Linked DNA regions of Oryctolagus cuniculus. The protein of the gene in region 1 purifies or fractionates together with the protein of each later gene. This does not show direct contact. Links are inferred from orthologs where the notes say so. Each region holds a gene or a part of one and is shown on either strand. Other genes may lie near its edges. The genes, in order: CMTR1 and DHX15.

Evidence for each region.
Region 2: the proteins of CMTR1 (region 1) and DHX15 purify together in Homo sapiens (co-immunoprecipitation; 3 studies listed by BioGRID and IntAct, with this or other methods). This does not show direct contact. The link is inferred for Oryctolagus cuniculus from reciprocal best matches to the Homo sapiens genes CMTR1 and DHX15.

What each region holds. Positions count from the first base shown.
Region 1 is NC_091436.1:132,179,076-132,182,887, reverse strand, and holds part of CMTR1 (cap-specific mRNA (nucleoside-2'-O-)-methyltransferase 1), read left to right. Parts: intron 1-1,966; coding exon 1,967-2,023; intron 2,024-2,761; coding exon 2,762-2,819; intron 2,820-3,593; coding exon 3,594-3,662; intron 3,663-3,812. UniProt on the Homo sapiens protein: S-adenosyl-L-methionine-dependent methyltransferase that mediates mRNA cap1 2'-O-ribose methylation to the 5'-cap structure of mRNAs.
Region 2 is NC_091433.1:19,757,038-19,760,849, reverse strand, and holds part of DHX15 (ATP-dependent RNA helicase DHX15), read left to right. Parts: intron 1-1,750; coding exon 1,751-1,969; intron 1,970-3,812.

The DNA.
Region 1 (3,812 bases):
GACAGAGAGAAAGGTCTTCCTTTGCCGTTGGTTCACCCTCCAATGGCCGCTGCGGCCGGCGCGCTGCGGCCGGCGCACCGCGCTGATCCGATGGCAGGAGCCAGGAGCCAGGTGCTTTTCCTGGTCTCCCATGGGGTGCAGGGCCCAAGCACCTGGGCCATCCTCCACTGCACTCCCTGGCCACAGCAGAGGGCTGGCCTGGAAGAGGGGCAACCGGGACAGAATCCGGCGCCCCGACCGGGACTAGAACCTGGTGTGCCGGCGCTGCTAGGCGGAGGATTAGCCTAGTGAGCCGCGGCGCCGGCCGGCAGTTAATATTTTTTAAATCATTGATAGTGGAGCCATTTGAGCCTGGAGTTTCTGTTTTGAGAAATTTTAAAATTCAATGTCTTGGGGTAGATATTTGGCACAGCGGTTTAGACACTGCTTGGGACACCACATCTCACATCAGAGTGCCTGGTGCAAGTCTCGGCTGCGTGCTCGATGGCAGCCTGGGAGGGCCGCAGCAGATGATCCAGCACTTGGGCCCCTGCCACCCATGTGGGAGACACAGATGGAGCTCCAGGCCTCCTAACTTTGGCCTTGCCCAGCCCTAGCCATTGCAGCCATCTCAGGAGTGAACCAGTAGATGAAAGATTCTCTCTCTCTCTCTCTTTTACTCTACCTTTCAAATAAAATATTAAAAAAAAATACAGGTACTGGGGCTGGTGTTGTGGCACAGTGGGTTGAGCTATGCTTGTGATCCCAGCATCTCATAGTGGATCATCAGTTTGGGTTCCACCTTATATCTGCTTCTGATCCAGCTCGCTGCTAACTTGCCAGGGAAAGCAGCAGATGATGGCCCAAGTGCTTGGACCCCTGCACTCACTTGGGAGACCTCGCTGGAGCTCTGGGCTCCTGGCTTCAGCCTGGCCTAGCACCAGCCATTTTTGTGACTATTTGGGGAGTGAACCAGAGGATGGAAAATCTGTTTCTCTCTCTATTGCTCTACCTTTCAAAGAAAAATAAAAATCTTTAAGTAAAACAGAAGTTACTTTATCTTTGCTCAAATTCTCCATCTTTTTGTGTGTATTGCCTGCCTTTTCCAGTAGATCTTTTAACATGTTTATCACTATCTAAAGGCCCCATCCAGACTTTCAGTGTTTCAGCCATCTCTGGGTCTTGTTCTATTGGGCCGTTTGCCGCCATCATTGTGTCACATTTTCTTGCTTTGTATGCCTCCTAACTTTTTATTCAATGCAAGATGTTATGTGTAATAGGGAAGAATAAAAAAGAAAGGGCAGCTATCAATATGAATGGGTTCAGCCAGCTTAGTATGTAATTGAACTGCAACTAGGATTTGTTGTTGCTTTAATTACAATATTTGTCACTGGTTTCAAATTATTATTATTTTAAAGATTTACTTTATTTATTTGAAAGAGTTACAGAGAGAGGGAGAGAGAGAGAGAGGTCTTACATCCAGTGGTTCACTCTCCAGAAGGTCGCAACAGCCGGAGCTGTGCTAATCCGAAGCCAGGAGCCTCTTCCGGGTCTCCATGTGGGTGCAGGGGCCCAAGGACTTGGGCCATCTTCTACTGCCATCCCAGGTCATAGCAGAGAGCTAGATTGGAAGAGGAGCAGCTGGGACTAGAACCAGCACCCATATGGGATGTTGGCGCTTCAGGCCAGGGCTTTAACCTGCTGCACCACCGTGCCGGCCCCTGATTTCAAATTATGTAAAGGTAGAATCAAAAGCTTTCTCTTCAGTAGGACTTGGGATTGAGTGTCTAGAGGGTTCGACATGATTCTTTCCCTCTGCCCTTAGCCTCCGGTGGGCTCCATAGAACTGCACCTTGGAGTGGCCCTCTCTCAACCACTCAGCCTATTCCCTAAATATAGATGGCCGTAGCTCTGGTTATGTCCTGATGTCATGTGGCTGTCTTGTGTGGAAATCCTTCTGAGATCAAACCATTTCTTTCTCTACTAGCCATTGTAGTCTGCAGATCAAAGCTCTGGCCAAAATCCACGCCTTTGTTCAAGACACGTAAGTGTTGCCTCCTTTTCTGAATTCACCTATTTCAAGGGAAGATTTGTTTGCTCTTCCCCAAAGCTCTATTTATTTCATTGCAACAACACACACGTGGACTGTGAAGGATGTCACAGAAGCCTATGGTGTGAACTGGTCCTCAGAGACTATAAGTCGCCATTGGGCAAATAACCAGGAAAAGGAGACAGGAAGAGTTCCTAGCAGTGCCTCAGAGTCAGCAGCATGGCACAAGTGAAACACAGTGTTCAGGCGACAGAGTAAGGGGTGGGCAGGGAGAACCTCCGGTGGGGGTGACCAGGAGTTGTGGCAGCTGCACGAGGCGTGTGGACCTCTGCTGACGGGTCTTCTGTGGCGTGTCACAGAGGAGGACCCAGGACGTGCTGAAGGGTGATCGGAAGAGGGCTGTGTGGGGGCCCCGGCATAGGTGTGTGTGTTAGGGGGGTAGTCACCTTCCTTCTGTGGGGCCAACAGTGAGCAGAACCACCTCTGACCTCCCCTTTCCACAGAGAGCAGGTGTCCCGCGGTGGAAGGGGCGGTAATCCCATTCCACGTACGCCTGTTGTCAGGAGGAGCGGCCCTGAGTGCAGTGAGCACCTGGCCGCGGGGCACGGCCTTTGTGTGTGCACGTGCGTTCCGGTGTCGGCCTCCTCTGGGTTGTGGGTTGTGAGGGGCACACAGGGAGCTTGCCCCTGTGCTTTCGGAGGATTTAACCATTTCCTGGCTTCGTTTTCTCAGGACCCTGAGTGAACCTCGGCAGGCAGAGATCCGCAAAGAGTGCCTGCAGCTCTGGGGGGTGAGTGTCTCCCGGGCCTGTTGTCACTGTCGGGCCGAGAAGCTCTGGAGAGCAGGGCTGCCCCGAGCCCTGTCAGTTGCGGATCCCCGCCCACCCAGCCTGGAAAGTGGCTGCCTCTAACAGTACTGCAGAGCTGGCTTCTGGGCGCTGCAGGGCGCTGCCTCCTCGGCCTGGCACTGCCAGTTTGTCAGTAGGTGGGTCAGAAGGGATGGGGTGGGAGGTGGACAGGCTTCATTTTGCTACTGGTGGTCCCTGCCCACAAAGCGCCCCAGAGAGAAGTGTGCGACCACAGGTCTGGAATCGCCCAACTCCCTCGCCCACTTTCCAGCTTCCTTCTTTTTCTCTTTTCTCCCTTTCTCCCTCCCTCCCTTCCTTCCTTCCTTTTCAAGATTTATTTATTTATTTGAAAGAGCTTCAGAGAGTCTTCTATCTGCTGGTTCAGTCCCCAGATGGCCACAATGGCTGGGTCTGGGCCAGGCTGAAACCAGGAGCTTCTTCCATGGGTGCAGGGGCCATCTGCATCTGTTTTCCCCAAGCCACTAGCAGGGAGCTGGATCGGAGGTGAAGCCCCAGGACATGAACTGGCACCCCATGGGATGGCGGCACTGCAGGCGGCAGCCTTACCCCCCACGCCACGCTGCCAGCCCAGTCCAGCTCCCTTTCTTGTGTTCCATTTCCTCTGCTGCAGTCTGAACAGGCCCCTTGCCTGCACCTGCTCACACACAGCCTTGGTCAGCAGGGCTCGTGACGGGGCTCTCCGCGCTCTCCTTTCAGATCCCAGACCAGGCTCGAGTCGCGCCTTCTTCCTCTGACCCGAAATCTAAATTCTTTGAGCTAATTCAGGTAAGTCTGACATCTGTGGTGGAAACAGGCGGTGGCCTAACTCTAGATGTGGAAGGAGTCACTGAGGCCCCAGAGCCCTGGCCTCCTGTAGGCTTGGGAGGTGCCACTGCCAAGCCCTGAGGGGCTGGGCGGAGGCCACCACAGGCAAGG
Region 2 (3,812 bases), on another chromosome or scaffold:
GAAGCAGGATCCTGAAACTCCATCCAGGTCTCCTGCATGGGTTAACAGGACGCAAATACTGCGACCGTCTTCCACTGCTTCCCCAGGAGCATTTGCAGGGAGTGGGATCAGAAGTGGAACAGCTAGGAACATAACTAGCACTCAAGTGGGATGTCAGTGTTGCAGGCAGTAACTTAGAGCACATACCGGCCCCAGTAATATATTTTTATGGCATATCTTACTAGTTTCTGATCCTTTCTTTTGGCATATTAATTAATTTATTTATTTGAAAGAGAGTTTCAGAGAGAAAGAGAGTGCTTCCATCTGCTGCTTTGCACCACAGATGGCTGTAAGGGCTGGAATGGGCTGATCTGAAGCCAGGATCTTCCAGGTCTCCCACATGAGTACAGGGGCCCAAACACTTGGGCAATCTAATTCTGGATTCCCAGGCACATTAGCAGGGAGCTGGATCAGAAGTGGAGTATCTGGGGTTTGACCCAGTGCCCATATGAGATGCTGGAGCCATAGGCAGTGGCTTTACCCACCATGCCACCGTCCTGGCCCCTTTTAGCATATTTTTGTAACTGTTGCTCACCTTGTCTTTCATCCCTTCATTACGTACAAGAGGGCTCATTTCTTTAAGCAGTGTCTTTGTTGCTCAGATTCCTGTCATCTCAGCCCTCAAAATCACTGATAACGCTGGAACAACTACCAGGACAAGCACTCATCAGAAGGACATTTGTTTACACTTGTGTCTTCCTTTTTTTTTTCTCTCTCCTATACCGCTTAGATCTTGGCCAGGGTTGCCGTGTTAAGGGTTTAAAGCTGACTGAATATTTTCTGACATTATCTTATCAGTCCTTTGACATATAATTTCATAAGTGGTTTTTTTTGACAGAGTGGACAGAGAGATAGGTCTTCCTTTGCCGTTGGTTCACCCTCCAATGGCCGCCGCGGCCGGCACACTGCGCTGACCCGAAGGCAGGAGCCAGGTGCTTCTCCTGGTCTCCCATGGGGTGCAGGGCCATCCTCCACTGCACTCCTGGGCCACAGCAGAGAGGTGGCCTGGAAGAGGGGCAACCAGGACAGAATCTGGCGCCCCGACCGGGACTAGAACCCGGTGTGCCGGTGCCGCTAGGCTGAGGATTAGCCTGTTGAGCCGCGGCACCAGCTAGTTTTGTTTTTAAAATTTTATTTATTTATTTGAGAGGCAGAGTTACAGACAGTGAGAGGAGAAGCAGAAAGGTTTCCTTCCATTGGTTCACTCTCCAAATGGCCACAACGGCCATAGTTGAGCTGATCTGAAGCCAGGAGCCAGGTGCTTTTTTCCGGTCTCCTACGTGGGTACGGGGGGCCCAAGGACTTGGCCCATCTTCTGCTGCTTTCCCAGGCGAAAGCAGAGAGCTGGATTGGAAGAGGAGCATCTGGGGACTAGAACCGGCGCCCATATGGGATGCTGGTGCTGTAGGTGGAGATTAACCTACTGTGCCACCATGGTGCGGGTCCCCAAGTTTTGGTTTTGAAAGTGTTGGTTCATGTAAATTTACATGTTTAATGTTTTACTTAAAATTTTTAAATAATTTGTAATAAATAACATAACTTGCTGTAGTTCAGGCTTTTCTGCATTTGATATTTAAATCACAGTGTATTTGAAATTTTTAAGCTTTATAATAGATAACAATGAAAATATTTTTACCTTTACTATTCTGTTTTTTGAGACCATGTAAGAACCCTTGAAGACAATTTCAAGTAGTTTACTGTTTTCTTTCAGGTGATAGTTATGAGTGCTACTCTGGATGCAGGAAAATTCCAGATTTACTTCGATAACTGTCCACTCTTAACTATTCCTGGGCGTACACATCCTGTTGAGATCTTCTATACTCCAGAACCGGAGAGAGATTATCTTGAAGCAGCAATCCGAACAGTGATCCAGATTCATATGTGTGAAGAGGAGGAGGGAGATCTTCTGCTTTTCTTAACTGGTCAAGAGGTATTGTCATTGTTTCCTTCGTTAATAGCCTTTGACACATTTCTATCAAGCAGCGGCCTTGATTTAGATATTAACTATATTTTTCTTATCCCGTTGTTTGAAGTTTTTCTTCAACCTGATTGTACTAACATATTAAACATGACCCTTTTATTTATGTACTCTGGGAAATTTTTTTTTCTTTGGCGACTGATTGTGTTAATTATAGCAAGAGTGTTAAGTGCTTTTAGAATTTCAGGATTTAGCAGTTGTATCAATTTTGATGCAGCCTGGGTTGTGTTATTTTGCTGATGCATGAATTGGAATCCCAGCTCCTGTAAAATCATGCATTTCTTCAATTCAAAATTGGTTGTTTTGGTTATGAGTGAAGTTAGGTGTCCATCCACCCTCAAAATGTTTGTCTTCTTTTTGTTCGTTCTTTTGCATGTGCTGAGGATTGAAGGGATCAGTGAAGTTTCCTAGTTAGAACTTCATTTTTAGACAACAGATTTTCATGTGTAGTAGCTTTTCTTTTTTCAGAAGTTTTTCATTTGAGAGGTAGAGTGACAGAGATATCTTCCATCTGCTGGTTTACTCCCCAGATGGCATTAAGGACTGGGCTAGGCCAGGTGGAAGCCAGATTTCAGGAACTCCATCCTGGTCTTCCACAAGGATGGCAGGGTGCCAGGTACTTAAGCCATCTTCATTGTTTTCCCAGGCACATTGATGGAGAGCTGGATAGGAAACAGCAGCAGGGTTTTGAACTGGCAGTCTGATATGGGATGCTGATGGCTGCTTCACCCACTAGACTACAGTGTTTGCCCCACAAGTGTACTATTTCTATTTTTTTTTTTAACAGGCAGAGTGGACAGTGAGAGAGAGAGACAGAGAGAAAGGTCTTCCTTTGCCGTTGGTTCACCCCCCAATGGCCACTGCGGCCGGCGCACTGCGGCCAGCGCACCGCGCTGATCCGATGGCAGGAGCCAGGTGCTTTTCCTGGTCTCCCATGGGGTGCAGGGCCCAAGTACCTGGGCCATCCTCCACTGCACTCCCGGGCCACAGCAGAGAGCTGGCCTAGAAGAGGGGCAACCGGGACAGAATCCGGCGCCCCGACCGGGACTAGAACCCGGTGTGCCGGCGCCGCTAGGTGGAGGATTAGCCTAGTGAGCCGCGGTGCCTGCCTACTATTTCTATTTACAGCAGGGCATTTATAGGTATGCTATTAAATTCTTCAAAGGCTAAATGCAAGAAAAGCTATTTGGATAAAACAACATTTTAGGAAACCATTTCATAGAGATTGTTATGAGCTTTTTTTCTTTTGATCTCATGGGCCTTGTGAATTTTCCAGAATATAATTTTTTCTTTTAACTATTTCTTTGTTTGAAAGGCAGTGTTACAGAGAGGCAGTGGCAGAGATAGAGTGGGTAGCAAGAGCGAGCTTCTATCTGCTGGTTCACTCCCCAGATGGCCTCAAAGGCCGGAGCTGGGCTGTTCCAATGTTTGGAGCCAGGAGCTTCCTCCAGGTCTCCCATACGGGTGCAGTCCTTGGGCCATCTTCTGCTGCCTTCCTATGCCATAGCAGAGAGTTGGATTGGAAGTGTAGCAGCTGGGACTCCAACTGGCGCTTATATGGGATGTTGGCACTGCAGGTGGCAACTTTATCCGCTATGCCACAGTGCTGGCTCCCAGAATATACTTCTGAAGCTAGTATTCATGGAGACCACCTAGAAGATTTGCGGAATCTGATTTTGTTGGTCATGGTGAGCTTATTTCTATAGGTGTCCAGATAATGCTGATGCTCCTCGGGATTTGAGTGATTCACTTCTAGAGTACTGTTGTCCAGCAGAACTCTGCAGTACTGGAAATA